Linked DNA regions of Neurospora crassa OR74A. The protein of the gene in region 1 interacts with the protein of each later gene in a pairwise test. Links are inferred from orthologs where the notes say so. Each region holds a gene or a part of one and is shown in the gene's direction. Other genes may lie near its edges.

Region 1 (4,182 bases):
ACGGCCACAGGAGCGGAGATGTACGTCTTGGTGTCGATGGTCGCGCCAGCCTCGGTGCCGATGGTCAGGTGGACGGCCGGGTGGGGGAAGGTGCCGGTCTCGGGGGAGGCGAAGAAGTTCTGGATCAGGGCGCTGAAGCTGTTGAGCTCGTGCGAGGTGGTGTACCAACCCAGCAGGGTCTCGCGGGGGTTGGCCTTGAGCGTCAGGGCCAACATGTTCTTCTGGTACTCGACGTCCACCTCAACCTGGTCCTCGTTCTCGGTGTGGGGGATGGCGAAGGTGGAGCGGACTTCGACCTCGCTGCCGTCCTCGCTGCGGACACCCACGAGGGCACCAATCACCCGTGTCGACTGGGTGTCGCGGTCGTCACGTCTGACGGCATGGTCGATGATGGAGAAGACAGCCTATTTGGTGAGGAAAGCGAAGGGCTACATGTCAGCTAGGTGTTGTATGGTCTTGGGCAATGGTAGTGGTGGTAGTGGCGGTGGTGACGGCGGGGTAGCAGAGAGGATATAGGTAGGTAGGTAGGTAGGTAAGCTTGACATGCGCAAAGGGGGACATCAAGGTAGGGGACTAGGTAGATAGGAGTGGAGGGGCAGATATAGGACTGTAGTATGGAAATTGGTGCTGTTGACGTACCTGAGGCTGGATGTTGACGGTAAGCGGGGCATTGCTGACACCGAAGCCAAGCACATTGGGCGCAAGGGGGCGCGAGAGATGGACGAAAGACTCCTGATCGACAGCCATTTTGACGACGGGCTGGGCTGTAGTTGAGTGAGAGATGGTGGAGGGGTGGTGTGGTGGTTGATAGAGGAAGCAGGACGGGAGTTCGAGGAGGAGGGGAGGAGCCGTCGAGGTTGAGATTATGGGGCTCTTTGAAAATGTAGACAGCAGACGCTGTTTTCGGGTTCGGGGTGAGAGAGAGGCTAGCGGTTGGCCGGGGGGTGGGGTGGGCTTGCGCTGGTGAAGAGTGGGCACGGGCTGGGCACTGGCAGAAAGAGAAGTCACTTTTTACGGTTGTACACTACACTTTTTTTCACTGCCGAGAATGGGTGTCAAATGTCAATGGCACTCCAGTGTGAGGGTAGGTCTCGGTGGCAGCCCGGCCATCGAGTTGGGTCCGTCACTGTTCACAGGCAGTCACTAACTTCCATTCTCTCGCCCTAGACCGGGAGGTACTCCATCCAGCTTTCGCAAAATATGGGGACCAGTAGGCGGTACCTCTGCTCGAATTTTTGGTTTTGCAGCGCAATGCGGGACCTTTGGGTGTTGTGCGCGCTAAGATAAGATAAGCCGGTCTCCACACTTCCATGTTCAGCTTGGCGGACTTGAGATTGTTCTTTCTTCAGTTCGCAAGGGTCAAGGGGGAGGGGTGGCGTTACAAGGCTGCTCTTTGCCAAGCCCTTCCTTCAAGATTCCATTGGACTTTTGGACTTTTTCTTCTTGGCTCGTTGACAAGGCTGAATACAATTTCCGTATCGTTTTTTTCACCTTTGTTGAATCTGATTTCACACATCAATCACCAATTGTCATATCACCAACCTCACATCTCATAATTTGAGAAAACTCTTACCGCATCAAAATGGCAATTCGAGGTCGCGGTGGTGACCGTGGAGGAGGAGGAAGAGGAGGAGGAGGTCGTGGAAGAGGTGGTGCAGGAGGTTTCAGAGGCAGAGGAGGATCCAGGGGAGGGGGCTCCAGAGGAGGCGCCAGAGGAGCTTCGAGAGGGCGCGGCAGGGGAAGTTCGAGGGGTGGTGCCAGAGGAGGTTTCGGCCCTCGCTCATCCAAGTTCAACGACGCCCGACTTGCCGACAAGGACGAAGAGTAAGAAAATTTCAACACTCAAGGGCAGAAAAGAACTGGAAAGCATACTGACTGAAACAGGGAAGATGAGGAAGAGGACATCTCTGAAGAGGAATCCAATGTTTCTGAGGATGAGATTGAGGAATCAGAAGAGGAGGATGAGGAGGAGGATGCCCAGTCTGGTCAGCCATACATGAGTCTTCTGAAGAGCTTCCAGAGTGCAACCAAGACGAAAAAGAGGAAGTTGGATCACCCGGAGGAGGAAGGTCCGAACAAAGTTACCAAGACGAAAGACGACGATAACAGCGACGACGAAGACAATGAGAAGGTGACGGAGGACGTGGATGCAGTTGACGAGCCAGAGGAAGATCCCCAGGATGCACCATTAGAGGACCTGTTCGACGAAGATGACGACCTCGACGACTCAGACCCCTTCGAAACTCACTTTACTGCCCCAGACGAGGCGACATTTCAGGCTAGGATAAAGGCTATTCAGGCGAACAAGTGGAGGACCGACAGGATAGCAAAAAACTCCAACAGGATATACTACAACACCCCAGAGACAGGCGACTCAGCTGAGCAGAAACTTCCCCATTCCATTTCTGGAGTTGGCGATCTTAAGCTCAAGCAACGATTAGCCGAATCGATGGCTAAGCACACCGAGTTCGACGAAGCTGAGAAGGCAGTAGCACCTCTTCTCTTCAACTATCAAGACATGCTTTACTGCAACCGGTCAGTGGCATCGTCTGAGAGCATAAGGCGGATGGCGTGTCTGCATGCGCTCAACCATGTTTTCAAGTAAGTCTGATGGGAACACGAAAAAAAAAAGAGTAAACAGAGAGCTGACTTTGATACCTACTCAGGACTCGTGACCGTGTAATCAAGAACAACACCAAGTTGCAAAGAGACGACACCCTTGAGCTTAGAGACCAGGGCTTTACCCGCCCCAAGGTCTTGATGATTCTCCCTACCCGCCAGTCATGCGTCAAAATGGTCGAAATGATCTGCAAGGTCGCCGCTCCTGAGCAACAAGAAAACCGCAAGCGTTTCGACGATGGCTATGTCGACAAGTCCACCAAGTTCTCTGACGACAAACCCGAAGACTTCCGCGACCTCTTCGCCGGCAACGACGACGACATGTTCCGCCTCGGTATGAAGTTCACTCGCAAGACCATCAAGTACTTCTCGCAGTTCTACAACTCGGACATCATCTTTGCCTCCCCTCTCGGTCTGCGCATGGCCATCGGTTCCGAGGAAGAGAAGAAGAAGCTCGACTACGACTTCCTCTCGTCCATCGAGCTCGTCATTGTCGACCAGGCCGACGCCCTGCTCATGCAGAACTGGGAGCACGTCGAGTTCATCTTTGAGCACCTCAACCTCCAGCCCCGCGACGCCCACGGCTGCGACTTCTCCCGCGTGCGCTCCTGGTACCTCGACGACCAAGCCAAGTACTTCCGGCAGACGGTGATTTTCAGCGCCTTCAACACGCCCGAGCTGGCCGAGTTGCAGCGTCTTTACTGCCACAACTGGGCAGGCAAAGCCCGGCTGCAAGCCGAATACCCAGGCGTGATCCAGTACCTGGGCGTCAAGACGCGCCAGACCTTTAGCCGGTTCGATGCGGCCTCCATTGCTGCCGACCCGGACGCCCGCTTCGCCTACTTCACCAAGGCCATCGTGCCGACGCTGGTCAAGCGGGCCGCCAAGGACGCGGCGGGAACGCTCATCTTCATCCCCTCGTACCTCGACTTTGTGCGGGTGCGCAACTACTTTGCCAATAACCCGGCCGTCGAGAGCGTCACGTTCGGCAACATCTCCGAGTACGCCGACACACCCGAAGCGTCGCGCGCGCGCTCGCATTTCCTGACGGGCCGCCACCGCGTGCTGCTGTACACGGAGCGCGCCCACCACTTTAGGCGGTACGCCATCAAGGGCGTCAAGCGCGTCATCTTTTATGGCTTGCCGGATAACCCCATCTTCTACAGGGAGATTGCGGGCGGGTACCTGCAGAAGAGCGAGCAGGCGCTGATGCTAGAGCACGGGCAGGGGCACGTCAAGGTCATGTTCAGCAAGTATGATATTATGAAGCTGGAGAGGATCGTGGGGACCAAGAGGGCGGGCAAGATGATTACGGAGCAGGGCGATACTTTTGATTTTGTGTAAAAAGGTCCAGTCAGTCGTATGGTATGTATGTATAAAGGCGTCGGATAATCAAAACTGCCAAGGGGATTGGGTTTACATAATGGATTGAAAAAGTTGGTTGCATAGTTGTTAAAATAGAATACCTACTACTGCTGTACGTACCTAGTGAGCAATAAGACAACATCCTGAAAGTCACCAGTCTATGGAACGGGGCATATGGTTTGCCAGTCTCCCAAGTCC
Region 2 (6,570 bases), on another chromosome or scaffold:
GGTGCTGGCCCGATAATCGTAGAAACGGGACGTGGGGAATGGATGGAGTTCCGAGCTAATGTAGTTCACCGACTGATACCTATCCACATGTATACTGGCGAAGGTCAAAAGCTCTGAACCGAAGCTCACACATTCCATCGATACAATCCGTAAGTCTAGTATACAGTAAGAGCAGGTTCTGCCAGAAGATTCATACAGTCTGCAACAGGGGCATACCATGGGTTTAGCAGGTAGTCATCTTTCTGTCTCCGCACTCACCAAGTGGTGCTCCAAACATCTTGACGTCGGAATATACACTTATTGCTGGACAACACAAGCAGGGTATAAAGTCGTTGTCACCCAACTAAGCATGGATTGCTCATTCTTGGTGTCAAAACGCATCCGGATCGCGGTGAAGACGTAGTGCTTTGACTTCAAGGTGAGTGTCTCACAAAGGAGACGGGGGACTTGTCCAGGTTGTCTTGAGGCTGATATCGGTCTATTACAACAACAAAGTTATTACAGTATTTTTATGTTCATAGATATCATATACACATCCATACAAAAGAACAGATCCAACCATCGCATCACTTCTTCTTGGGATGCGTAAAAGGATGCCCCTTTTCCCTCGCCCACTTCACAATCGTTGAGTTCATCCCCCTCAACACGAAGAAGTAGATGATCGGTATGAGCCACCCCATCAACGTGTCCAGCACCCAGTTGTTCCTCGGCGACCCGCCCATGATCCCGCACTGCATCAGCCTTCCCAGGAATGACACATCGACAAAATACTTGCCAGCCTCCAGCCCGGCAATCGCCCTCCTTGCTACCGTATCCGGGCTTTCCGCTGGCTCGTCCTTTTCCAGCTCCACCGTGATGTCCGGCTTCGTCTGATTTTCCCTCTCGTAGCCCGGTGATACAATCGTGCCGGGATACACAATGTGCACCTTGACCGGGTTATCTGGGTAGTAATTGACCTCCATCGCCAGGGTATCCGCCAGTCCTCTCAGCGCCCATTTGGTTGGGGTGTACGGGCCATAGCCCAAAATCGCAAAAAGCGCCAACATTGACGCGGTAAATACCAAGTGCTTCGGCTCTCCGTTGGGTCCCGTGCTGTTTTCGGGTGCCAGCCACTCCCTCAAAATCGCCCGCGACATCTCCGCCGACCCAAAGTAGTTGACGTCCATGTTGCGGCGTGCGGCCGCCATGCTGCCATCGTCGGTCCACAGCAGAGGCGTCGACATGCCGGCCACGCACCAGACGATGTCCGGGGAGCGCCCGCCATTCCAGGCGATAGCTTCGGCGAGGACCGCGGCGGCGTAGTCGTGCTCGGAAACGTCGGCTGAGATGTAAGTGAAGCGTTGTGTGGACGGGTTCTTGGCGGCGGCGCGGACGTCGACGAGGGCTTCTTCAAGGCGCCCGACGTTGCGCGAGACGAGGATGACATTGGCGCCCTTTTGCGAAAGTTGGATGGCCGCTGAGCGGCCCATGCCTTCGGAGGCGCCGGTTAGGAGGACGGTCTGGTAACAGGGGTTGAGTTAGTGTTGTTTGGAGGTCGGGTCAGGTCGGGTGAGGCTTCGGGGCGCATACCCGGCCCTCGACTGGCATGTGGTTTTTGGAGCTGAAGAGACCCATTGTAGCAAATATGCCAATGGCCGCGACGACGGCTGCAACTGGGAGAGACCAGGAGGTGCTGAGGGTTTTCAATTGTTCCATCAGCGACTCTGAGAAGAGATAATGGTTCATCCTTCCTTGGATCGTGAAAGAAGATCGGGCTCGAGGAAAGTGGAATTGTTGACGCGGCGGCGCCTAAGCTATTCTGTATACGTCTAGAGTACGAACGAGTACCTCTACGGCGTAAATTTAGTGGATGCTGTCAGCAGTTCCCGTCGTACTGGAGCTTACACCCCTGTCTGTAAGTGACTTGTTGATGGGTGATGATTCGACCGATTTCTTCGCACTCCGTAGGAAAATGAGGTTTCTGGAACCATTTGCTGGAGTTTGCGTTTTCGAGTCTTCAGAAGCGGTTTTCTCTACTGTCATAACTGAACCCATTGAGGTCATGTCAACGTAAATCTGGCAGGCCTGGGGGGCATCTTGGAGCTTCCCGTCGACCCTGAGGACGGGATGGAAGCTTTGACCATTTCAGATGTAACTGTGGAGCATCTTCAATTGTGGGGTTAGGCAGCCTGCATGAGAGTGGAGCTGGGCGGTCGAGGTTCCGCTGAGAATGGATCGCAAATTGACAAGAGCAAAAAAATTCTGCCGCTTCAACATTTGTTGCCCGCCTAGCGAACGAACCCACCAGCCCATTCAACGAGCATCTCCAAGTGCCTTTTGGCAGCGTCTTCACGTCAACGTTTCTCAGTCGCGCCAAACTCCATCCAACACGCCTGAATAGATAACCGCGACACAAACGCAAAAATGGCGAAGAAGAGAAAAGCCCCGAGACCGACCGGTCCCGCCGAGCCTCGCGAGGTCGATGCCAAGGACGCCCGCCTTACCGTTAAGACTTACAAAGATGTCGCCAACTCCGAAGACGAATACTGGGAGAACCAGGATCGCATCGACTTTGACGACAGCGATGATGGCAGACAATCCAAGCGCAGGCGCCAAGACAAGGAGGAGGAGTTCCTAGAGGCTTCTGACGAGGAGGTTTTCGAGGAGGACGAATCCGATGAGGAGAGCGAACACGAAGACGCCGCGCCCGCGAAGGGCAAGAAGGTCAAGACAACAGTACTTTCCGACGAAGAGATGGGTGGTGAAGAGGAGGAAGAAGGTGACGAAGGATGGTGGGGTTCCTCCAGAAAGGACTACTACAATGCCGACCAGATCGAGACCGAGGCCGATGCCTTGGAGGAAGAGGCTGAGGCAAAGAGGCTCCAGGCCAAGAAGTTGGCCAAAATGTCCGAGGCCGATTTCGCGTTTGACGAGAGCGAATGGCTAGGAACCAAGGAGGAGGCCGAGGGAGAGGAGGATGTCATTACCGAGAAACTCAACGAGATCGAAGTCACAGAGGACATGGGGCCGGAAGAAAGATACAAGCTTCTACAGAGCCGATATCCCGAGTTTGACTACCTGGCGCAGGAGTTTAGGGAGCTGCAGCCGATTCTCACAACTCTTCAAAAAGAGGCCGAGGGCAAGCCTGCCAAGTCTCTGGAGATGGTCAAGTTCTGGACTCTTGGGTGTTACATCGCTTCACTCGCCAGTTATTTCGCTATCCTGACTTCGCCAGCAAGAGACAGCCAAGGTGTGTCCAAGACGATCAGCCCTACGGAACTCAGGGACCACGAGGTTATGGGCACGTTAATGAGCTGTCGCGAGGCCTGGCTTAAGGTCAAGGAACTCAAGCCGCTCAAGAGCGTCTCCTCGACCAGCGGCATGCTTTCGCCACCCGAAGATGAGGGCGAGTATGATGACCTGTCTGACGACGATATGGAGGACTTCAAGAAGATGCTCAAGAAGAGCAAGCGCGAATCCAAGGCTGAGCTCAAGGCCAAGGCGAAGAAGGAGGCCGAGAAGGCCAAGAAGGCCAGGGCTGTCGAGCAGTCTCTTGCCGATCTCTCCAGTTTGCTTGAAACCACCAAGACGGCAACCAAGGCCAGCAAGAAGTCTGTCAAGGTCGACAAGCGCGATGACGATGAGCGCTCCGACTTTGGTGACGAGGAGATCCTTGAAGCTCACGTGGCCAAGGAGAAGGCTGCTCGCAAGAAGAGTCTCAAATTCTACACCTCCCAGATTGTGTCCAAGTCCGCCAAGCGTGCGGATGCGGGTCGCAACGCCGGTGGTGATGACGATCTTCCCTACCGTGAGAGATTTGTAAGTCGGCCATTGCCTAAAAAACATGCCGTGTTGTCATATACTGACTTTTGCGCAGAGAGACAGGCAAGCACGGCTCAACGCCGAGGCCGAGAAGCGCGGCAAGAAAGACAGCAAGCACGGCGCCGTGCTGGGCGAGGGCGACAGCGACGACGAGGACAAGGCCGTTGCCAAGCAGGTGCGCGGAGAGGAGGACGAGTACTACGACATGGTGGCGCACAACGCGGCCAAGAAGAAGGAGGACAAGGCGGCCAAGTACGAGGCTTTGGCGGCTGCCAAGGGCGCCCGGGTCGTGGAGGAGACGACGATCGGCCCCGACGGCAAGCGCCAAATCAACTACCAGATCCAGAAGAACAAGGGCCTCACGCCGCATCGCAAGAAGGAGAACCGCAACCCGCGTGTCAAGAAGAGGATGAAGTACGCGGAGAAGCAGAAGAAGCTCAAGAGCGTCAAGGCCGTGTACAAGGGCGGCGAGGGCAAGGGCGGGTACCAGGGAGAACTGTCGGGTATCAAGACCGGCTTGGTCAAGAGTATCAAGCTTTCTTGATAGGGCTCTGGTTGTCGTGGTTGTTGGACTGGTTTGTAGTACTCTGGGTATATCATGCATGTATAGATTTTTGGGTTGTTGATAATCATGGCCTCAACGGAAATGGAAAAAAGCAGGCTTGCACACACAATGGCATTGTATTTCTTGAACACACTTGATACCTCTTCAAGATCTACAATATCTACAATGTCCAGTATTCTCAACACCGGAGGTCGCCGGTACTCGCACCCTGTTCAATCGTGTTAGTACAGGTTCATGGTAAACCCCGGGTCTGAGAATAGGGCTATATAAGAATCCCTCTCATTTTTTTTCTTTTTCTTTTCCATCCCAATTTTTAGTTCCTCTTCGTTTCTGTGCCCTTCCCTGGCATTTCTTGTGTGCCAGATTCCGAAAGAGCGAAGGCGATGTTGACTTGGAAAGGATACAAGGCCTGCGAGGGAGCCAATAGGAGCTCTGAGACGAATCAATGCAAATGCCCAAATCTCAACTTTGGATAAATGTAACACCACCACATGATAAATTATTAGATTGGGCAGTTTCTGAACAAACACAACATCCTAAACCGAACACTTCAATTTCGTTATCTTCAGTACAGGTATCTTCAACACGGATCGTTCAAGAAGTAGAGGTAATTTTTGGGATGAAACACTGGAATGTTAGAGCAATGATTAGGACATGCCACATTATTTTTTTCCAGTCCACCATGACTTCTTAAACCCACCAGGCAAAAGGAAGAGTTCCAAACCAACAGTCTGTTTTCGGTCTATCCAGAAACCCAGGTTTCCCTCGAAGGGTTCTCATGCTGTTGTTGGATGTTGTTGTACTAGGGTTTCACCTAGCGGTTGACGTACCCCACAAGATCCACCTACAGCCCGGGACGCTTGAGCCGCCTGAGACGTGCATGCTTTTAAGGGCTCTTTTGCCGCCGCCGAGGATGCATTACACGTATCTTGCAGCCAGGCGGGTCAACCTTGGGTCTTGGGGGAACCGGTTTGCGGATGAAGAGGCAAAGGATTTAAAACTAGTCATGCGACCATCAGACTTTTCACCATGTATGACTCGAATCGGATTGTAATCAGGTCGACTCTTTCCTTTGTTCAGCCTTTTTTGTTGACTTTGCATTTTGCATCGTTATCTTGAGCCTCACTTCAGTGTGTACTCTGTAACTCTTTGACCGACCGCTCATGAATCCTCAGGGCGGCTCTCAATTGAAGTGACGTATCTCCTGTCTACCAAACCCACAAAACAAGGACACAACAACAAAGAGCGAGGTGAACTGGGCATCCAAGTTCCAACGAATCTTGGGGGCAAACAACTCAATCGATAAGGCGGGAGAGTAAAGCGCATCAACAAAAACGCTTTCATTCAACCATCGCATCCTTCCTCACGCTTAAACCCACAAGTATTCTCAACCTGTACCTATCAAGAGACGGTTGCACAAAACAGTGAGACAGCATTACACGCGGTCCTACGGACAACAGCAGCCACCATGGCGCCCCCGACCGAACTCCTCAACCTCGACGTCGAGGCCATATCGGGGATCCTCGGGTAGGTCTCATTCCACTCCCAATTAACTTCACCTTCTCCATCTTACTAAACCCTCTCAACAGCTCCGTATCAATAGCATGCTGGGTCGTCGTCTTCTCCCCGCAAATCATCGAAAACTTCCGCCGCTCATCCGCCGACGGGCTCTCCATCCAATTCATCATCATCTGGCTAACGGGCGATGTCTTCAACATCTTGGGGGCCGTATTGCAAGGGGTCCTGCCGACCATGCTCATCTTGGCCATTTATTACACCATTGCCGACGTGGTGCTTTTGGCGCAATGTTTCTATTACCGGGGATTTACCTGGCGGGATGAAGTGGTCCCCACCATTGCCATTGACTCCGACGACAGTGAAGCTGCTTCAGAGCGTGATATGGGGAGTAGACGCGGAAAGAACAAGGGTAAGGGGAGGGTTGATGGTAGTCGGGGGACGTCGAGCGATGAAGGAAGAAGAAGGGTAGGAGAAGATTTGGAATCGGGACCGGATGAACGTACCGCTTTGCTGGGAGGAGCAAGAGAAAGAGGAAATGCAGCAGGCGTGTCATCCTCATCCGCGAGCACTATCACCAGCACTACCTTGACTCCCCACCACCACAACAACGGACATACCGGTCACGGCCACCACCTCAGAGTCAGCGGCGGCGGCGGCGGCGGCGATCTCTACCCCTACGACGGTAC
Region 3 (6,630 bases), on another chromosome or scaffold:
TAGTTCAGTAAGCAGGCACGTGCTTGGGGCTGCCCGTGTCGTTGCCCGGGAAGCTACCCTCGGGAACGGTTATGGTAGACCTGCAATCTCTCCCCTTCTTTGTTCGGCTAAAAGGCACGCGACCAAGTGTTCTGTGTGTTTACCTTATCCACAAGCGAGCGTTTGTCGAGGATGAGTCTGGGCTATCACCAACTCGTTTATTATTGATCTACAAATTCATGCTAAAAGTTTTGTTAGCGCGAGACGTACAACGTCTTCAAACGAGGAAGAGAATCACTGACTATGGCGCTGCTATTGGTCTAGAAACACGCCAAAACCCGACCCGGATAAAGCGACTGTGCTCGATTCCATATGGCCTGTGTGGGTCCCATACAAATCGACAGCCAAGCTCAGCCAAGACCCAAAGCTTGGCATCTGTCGCGCCAACTTTCGCGACCGCAAGTCACCACCAAAGTCACCACCAAATGTCATTATCTTAACAACGATAATAAGAACTTAAAACCACCTTTTTTTAAAGCGTTGGACTTTCATTCACACGCAGGGGCCTCTCACCGGCCCCCTACACCCCCGGAACTAACCCTAACGCCTAACCCTAACCACTAACCCTAACCACTAATCTAGGTTACCGGGAGGTGACATGTGCCTTGGCCCACACAGGCTGTTTGGAATCGCGCACAGTCGCTTTATCCGGGTCGGCCAAAACCACCTCCAGGGTAACAACGATTGATCGTCCTCCACCAGGTTCCCCATACACACCCATTATGGTTGCGTAACTGGCTCGTCCAGGACAAAAAGAAAAACATGGTCTCCAGAACATGATGTCAACGGCATATTGACAAAACACCTACGAGTTTGTAAGGCTGTAGACACTTGTTGAGAACCATAAATGACCATGAAGACGAATAAAAGAGGTAAAATTAACGAGAGGAAATGTCATGATTCTGGTCTGGGCCGGCTGCAGTCTCTTTCATTTTGTCTCGACCGAGGTTAGGTAGGTACGGTACTCAAGCATTTGCACCGTGGTCCTACCAAGAGAAAACGATCGAGTTGCCACTGGTACAGCTGCAAGACGGCTCCCAACAGCATAGATGGGGTGGGGCGACGGACAGGTGCTCTTGACAAGTCGTGTTGTGAAGACCTGTTGTGGGATGCAGTTTCTCCTCTCACCCTCACATAGAGCCTGCCAGAAGGGAGGCGGATATGGAAAATAGAAAAGAATGAATCGGCCCGTCCGGATTTTCACAAGGAGATCTCCTTCGCTTGACAAATTAGGTAACATCCGGCAACTCAAAAGTATTTCCCGTCCCTCCATCTCGACGTATCTTCCAGCTCTGTAACCAAACAGTGTGCGATTGGCAGTTACATAGTGTGAGCCAACCGAAACTTCTCTCGCGACCTCCTGTACGACTTTGGAAATGTTGCCGTTAACTTGGCCATTCTACTCTAGGTAGGTAGCAGAGATAGATGGTGTGATGCGATTGGACCGAGCAACGCCACTTAGCGATCAAGTTCATGTGTCGTACTATACAGGAGGCCACTGACACTTGATGGGATCCTCGCCGTTCACGACAGCAAGTTAGTGGTTACATAGCAAACATCTTCACCGTGAGGTTCACAGTTATTTCCCGGCGAACATGAAAAAGAGGTCATATTGAGAGCACGCAACGCACGACCATAGAGGCTGGGATCACCAAAGCCACCATCGCCCTCACATTGACCTCGGCAACCGCTAAAGAACATGATACAATTCCCTGGCCTGGGATACGAAGGTCTTGAGTATCACTCGCAGCTCGGCTCGGCGGGACACTCTCCCGCGAGTTGCATTCAATGAAGGCTTAGACGGTCCAGACCCTAATGCAGCACGTCAACGCTGCTGTCGTATTTTGAAAGAATACCTCATGGTCCGTCAAAATTCTCACGGGCGATACCATATGCATAGGGATGTGGCTTGTGAAGGAACTTCAACAAGTGTTATGACTTGCAGCATCTTTCCCCGAAGGTGCGCAAATAACACCCTTACATTTCTACTATGTAATAAGAGCTTTCTCTGCACGTTATCCAGACCATGAAGAAGAGCCGGCTGGGTAAGTAGCCTACCTCTACAGAAAATAGTCCATCAACGTCTGTCGCAGAGATCTCATTACGATGTTGAAAAGAACACGAGAAGCATACTGTAATGTAGCTAGTATGAGGCAAACCTAGCGCTCTTCCTCAATGGGGTTAATCGTTGGTTTAACATTTTACAGTTCTTGCACAATTTAATTACCTTTTACCGTTTGACAAGAAACTTCCAGTTACGACGAAAGTGAAGCGGCGAAAGATACAATAGACTATGTACGAGCTGATGGGATTGATAGGGTAGTCTGGAATTTTAGATAAGGAAGTGCTGATAACAAGCTAGGTGCCTGTGTCGAAACGGCGACTTCACCTATCCAACAGCACTGGAGATCGTTGCGTGATTGCTTACTGAGTTTCCAGTAACTTCAGAGTAACTCGCTAGCGTATGCTATATTTAAAAAAAGGTCATTGTGAATTCATCCCCTCTCTCAAGCTTGATGTCGAGCATCTCCTTTGAGACTGCATGCACTTTGTGGTTTGTTTACTTGACATTGTCATCCGATTATAAGTGTTAAGGCAACCTCGTCTTATAGCGGTGCACCGCCCTGAAGCTTAACAACAAGAGAAGTGGGACCTACTTCCATTTCCAGAGAGCAGAATCACCCATCATTGGTCAATTCACAGCCAGCCCCATAAGCTGGTGCGGGGACGCCTGCCTCCACGCTTCGCCGTTTCCTGGACCTTGGAGAGCGCTATGGCAGAAAAAATTTTGGTCCATCAATATCGCCGGCTGGCAACCAAACATCGTCAGGTCGAACTTTTTTTTGTTTTGGTACGGGCAACGGCAAACACCGACGCCCTGCCATTTCTTAGTCAAGCGTCCATATTGAACCCTCAAGTCAGACACTTGTATGACAAGGCCAGCCTCGATACCCTAGCCTTGATTGATCTTCTTACAGCATTAGTCCAACCCTACCTAAAAAACAGACATGGCAGCTGGCAGCATAACCTCTTCCGTAACCTCGACATCCCAAACAATCACCCACGACCCCTCCACACACAACAGCGTCATGGCCGCTACCCTCGCCGCATCGTCGAGCGGCAGCACCTCTCCTTCGACAATTGCCAACAACCCCGTCGTCGCCTCCTTCCTCTCGGCCCTGGCCGACGAGTCCAACCGCCACGTCTTCCTGCAGCCGCCCTCGACCCTTCCCGCCGGATCCCTCCTGCTCGCCAAGGAGACCCTCGACGCGCTCGCCTCGCAGGTCAGTGACCACCAGCAGGCAAAGCTGAAAGAGATCGCGGCCACCATCGGTGGAAAGAAGCGCAAGCGTGAGGCTGGCTATGACAAGAATGCCGTGCTCAAGATTCGCAAGCTGCACGTCGACGACGGCTTCGAGACGGAGCAGATTTGGCAGCAGGCCAAGAAGATCATTGCCAGCGCCACAAAGGAGGCTGGCGATGTGCTGAAGGAGCTGGAGGAGAACGGGATTGTGGGCACCGGCGAGGAACAAGAGAAGACCATTGAGTTTGGAGAGGATGGGTTTGAGCTTGGTTCTGATGAGGAGGAGGAGGACGATGAGGAGGATGCTGATAGCGAATCTGGTTCTGGCTCTGAAGGAGAAGAGGATGAGGAGGATGACGAAGAAGAATTAGAAGGAGAAGAGGGCAGCCAGATCGACGACGATGAAGAAATCGAGATCGATGGCGAAGAGGTTGAATTCTCGGACGAAGATGGAGAAGGAGAGTTTGATGAGGAGGAGGAGGAAGAAGAAGAAGAAGAAGAAGAAGAAGAAGAGGAAGAGGATGCGCCAGAACTTGTCGAGGATCCCAACGGCCTCAACGACGGCTTCTTCTCAATAGACGACTTCAACCGGCAGACACAGTTGTGGGAGGACGCGGATGCCCGTGCGGACCCCAACGTCGATGCCGACAGCGACGACGAACAGCTAGACTGGCACGCCGATCCTTTCGCGACAAAGCCAAAATCAAAGAAGGGCAAGAGCGACAAGAAGAAGGACGAAGACCAGGATGAGGACGACGTCGACATGGGCGATGAATCCGAAGACGACGAGGCCCTCGAGGCTGCTGCCGCCGCCCACGCCAAGAAACTCAAGGGCAAGAAGAACGTGGAGCAGCTCGAGGACGATGGCGACGATCTCGGCCTTACAGATGGTGTTCTCGGTATGGACATGGACCTTACCGCCAACGACATTTACTACAAGGACTTCTTCGCGCCACCTCAAAAGAAGAAGACCGGCAACCAAAGGAAAGGAGGCTATTTCCCCAAGAAACTTGAGCAGCCAGATGAGGCCGATATGGAGAGAGCCGAGAATGATGTGCGCCGCGATCTCTTCGACGACATCTCGGAGAATGAAGATGAAGATAAGCTCTCGGATCTTGATGCTGGTGATCCGAGATCTCGCCGGTCCGCCCACGAGCGCAGACAAGCCAAGATTGCCGAGGAGATCCGCAGGCTCGAGTCTGAGCTAGTTGCCAAGCGCGCCTGGACTCTGTCCGGTGAGGCTTCCGCGCAAGCTCGTCCCATGAACTCGCTCCTGGAGGAAGACCTCGAGTTTGAGCATGTCGGAAAGCCTGTCCCCGTCATTACCGAGGAGGTTTCCGAGACGATTGAGGCGCTCATCAAACGCCGCATTCTTGCCAACGAGTTCGACGAGGTTCTCAGGAGACGTCCTGACACCCTCAATAACCCCAACAACGCGCGCCGCGGTCTCGTTGAGATCGACGACACCAAGGGCAAGCAGTCTCTCGCCGAGATCTACGAGGAGGAGCACATCAAGAAGGCCAACCCGGACGAGTACGTCAGCGCTTCGGACGAGAAGCTCACGCGCGACGAGGCCGAGATCAAGAACATGTGGAAGGACATCTGCGCCAAGCTCGACGCCCTCAGCAGCTGGCACTACAAGCCTAAACCCGCCGCACCCACCATCAGCGTTGTCACCGACGTCGCCACCGTCGCCATGGAGGACGCCATGCCCACCACGGCCCAGGGTGTGTCGGGTGGCGAGAGCACGCTCGCGCCCCAGGAGGTGTACGCCCCCGGCAAGGACTCAGTCGAGAAGGGCGAGGTCGTGGCCAAGAGCGGCCTGCCGATTGCCAAGGAGGAGATGAGCCGCGAGGAGAAGGCTAGGAGACGCAGACGCGAGAAGGAGCGCATCCGCAAGGCCGGCGGCCTGGATGCGAACAAGAACATCAGCAAGGGTGCCCAGGAACGCAAGGAGACGATGAGCCAGCTCAAGAAGGGCGGTGTCAAGGTTATTAACCGGAAGGGTGAGACGGTTGGGTTGGATGGCAAGAAGATCGCGGAGCAGAAGGGTCCTACGTCGAGTGGTGCCTTCAAGCTTTAAAGGTCGGGTTGTTAGACGAGGGATAGACGTAGGAAGAAGATGGATGATACCCTGATGGGTTGGACGGGTGGGCAGTCTTGGCTAAGGGCGATCTGTAAAGGTCTTTTTCTTTTGTATGGAATAGGTACATAATTGGGAGTTCAAAAACTATGCATGAGTTTGTTTTTCATCGGCCGTCAGCCGGTATACAATGCTCAACTGTTCACGTTCAACATTGTCGAAGATGATTCTTGTGTGCCTAATATTATGGAGTCAGTACAACAACTAATCCTGGCCCTCTCCAACCTCATTGCTCTGTTTCCCCTCATGCTTTCCTTCTGTTACCCGTCACTATTCTCCGTGTGATCTTTCCTCCAATTCAGCCCAGATCATAGCGACTCATAACTTGGTACCTACCTCTACCTCCACAGGTCTACAAAGTGAAAAAATGCAAAATCAGTCTAGCTATCCACCCTCAGCCAAATTGGTAACTCTCCATTTTCATTACATCTTATTAGTATTTGGGATTGCCTACCCCTACTACTAGCTTGCCCTTTATCAAAAAAAAAAAAAAAAAAAAAAAAAAAAAAAAAAAAAAAAAAAAAAAAAAAAAAAAAAGAAAAGAAAAGAAAGAAAAAAAATAAAAGGAAAAAAAAAGAAACAAAAAAAAAGGAAAAAGGAAAAAGTTCCCTCTACCTTGTTCAAGGCTATCTGTACCCCGGACCTCAGGTTTTGGTTGATTAAGAAGAAGTGAAGAGAGAAGTGAAGAGAGAAGTGAAGAGAGAAGTGAAGAGAGAAGTGAAGAGAGAAGTGAAGAGAGAAGTGAAAAGGGGATAACCCGAGGCTGAAGAGACCATGAAGAGACAGTTAAGCATGTTGTACACTACCTCTTATTCTGTTTGAAACCGTCTTCTTCGTCCGCCCTAATAAGACCTAGTGCCAGACGAACTGTCCAGACTATGTTTGGTATCATTCTACATCCATCATCCGCGTCCACCTCTGCAATCCACCACTGGCTTCTTGATATAGTTTGTTCATTTTTGGATTTATGAGCATGTACCCAAAATTGAAGGGGTAATCACATAGATATACTAGTTCTGGGGAACAGCTCGTGAGCCATTGACTTCTCGAAGACGGTCCGGAGATGTGAATACATACCCATATACGACAGACCATTTGCAGTCCCCTCTCGATCACGATGACTTGTTTGGGAGGGCCAAGGACA

What was found.
Region 2: the proteins of NCU01022 (region 1) and NCU00301 interact in binary tests that used the Saccharomyces cerevisiae proteins (3 or more experiments, as listed by UniProt). The link is inferred for Neurospora crassa OR74A from reciprocal best matches to the Saccharomyces cerevisiae genes UTP25 and SAS10.
Region 3: the proteins of NCU01022 (region 1) and NCU03952 interact in binary tests that used the Saccharomyces cerevisiae proteins (3 or more experiments, as listed by UniProt). The link is inferred for Neurospora crassa OR74A from reciprocal best matches to the Saccharomyces cerevisiae genes UTP25 and MPP10.

The regions. Positions count from the first base shown.
Region 1 is NC_026505.1:2,700,940-2,705,121, forward strand, and holds NCU01022 (DUF1253 domain-containing protein), read left to right. Parts: upstream 1-1,382; 5' UTR 1,383-1,582; coding exon 1,583-1,824; intron 1,825-1,884; coding exon 1,885-2,601; intron 2,602-2,666; coding exon 2,667-3,963; 3' UTR 3,964-4,078; downstream 4,079-4,182. Other genes in the region: NCU01021 (eukaryotic translation initiation factor 3 subunit EifCf), read right to left, coding at 1-404, 640-747. UniProt on the Saccharomyces cerevisiae protein: DEAD-box RNA helicase-like protein required for pre-18S rRNA processing, specifically at sites A0, A1, and A2.
Region 2 is NC_026503.1:3,361,140-3,367,709, reverse strand, and holds NCU00301 (Sas10/Utp3 family protein), read left to right. Parts: upstream 1-2,254; 5' UTR 2,255-2,403; coding exon 2,404-3,798; intron 3,799-3,856; coding exon 3,857-4,345; 3' UTR 4,346-4,549; downstream 4,550-6,570. Other genes in the region: NCU00302 (3-ketodihydrosphingosine reductase tsc-10), read right to left, coding at 567-1,499, 1,570-1,725; gpr-5 (PQ loop repeat protein), read left to right, coding at 5,835-5,893, 5,956-6,570. UniProt on the Saccharomyces cerevisiae protein: Primarily required at the G2/M phase. Essential for viability: involved in nucleolar processing of pre-18S ribosomal RNA as part of the ribosomal small subunit (SSU) processome.
Region 3 is NC_026506.1:2,219,735-2,226,364, forward strand, and holds NCU03952 (U3 small nucleolar ribonucleoprotein Mpp10), read left to right. Parts: upstream 1-2,638; 5' UTR 2,639-3,047; coding exon 3,048-5,426; 3' UTR 5,427-5,879; downstream 5,880-6,630. UniProt on the Saccharomyces cerevisiae protein: Involved in nucleolar processing of pre-18S ribosomal RNA. Required for the early cleavages at sites A0, A1 and A2 during 18S ribosomal pre-RNA processing.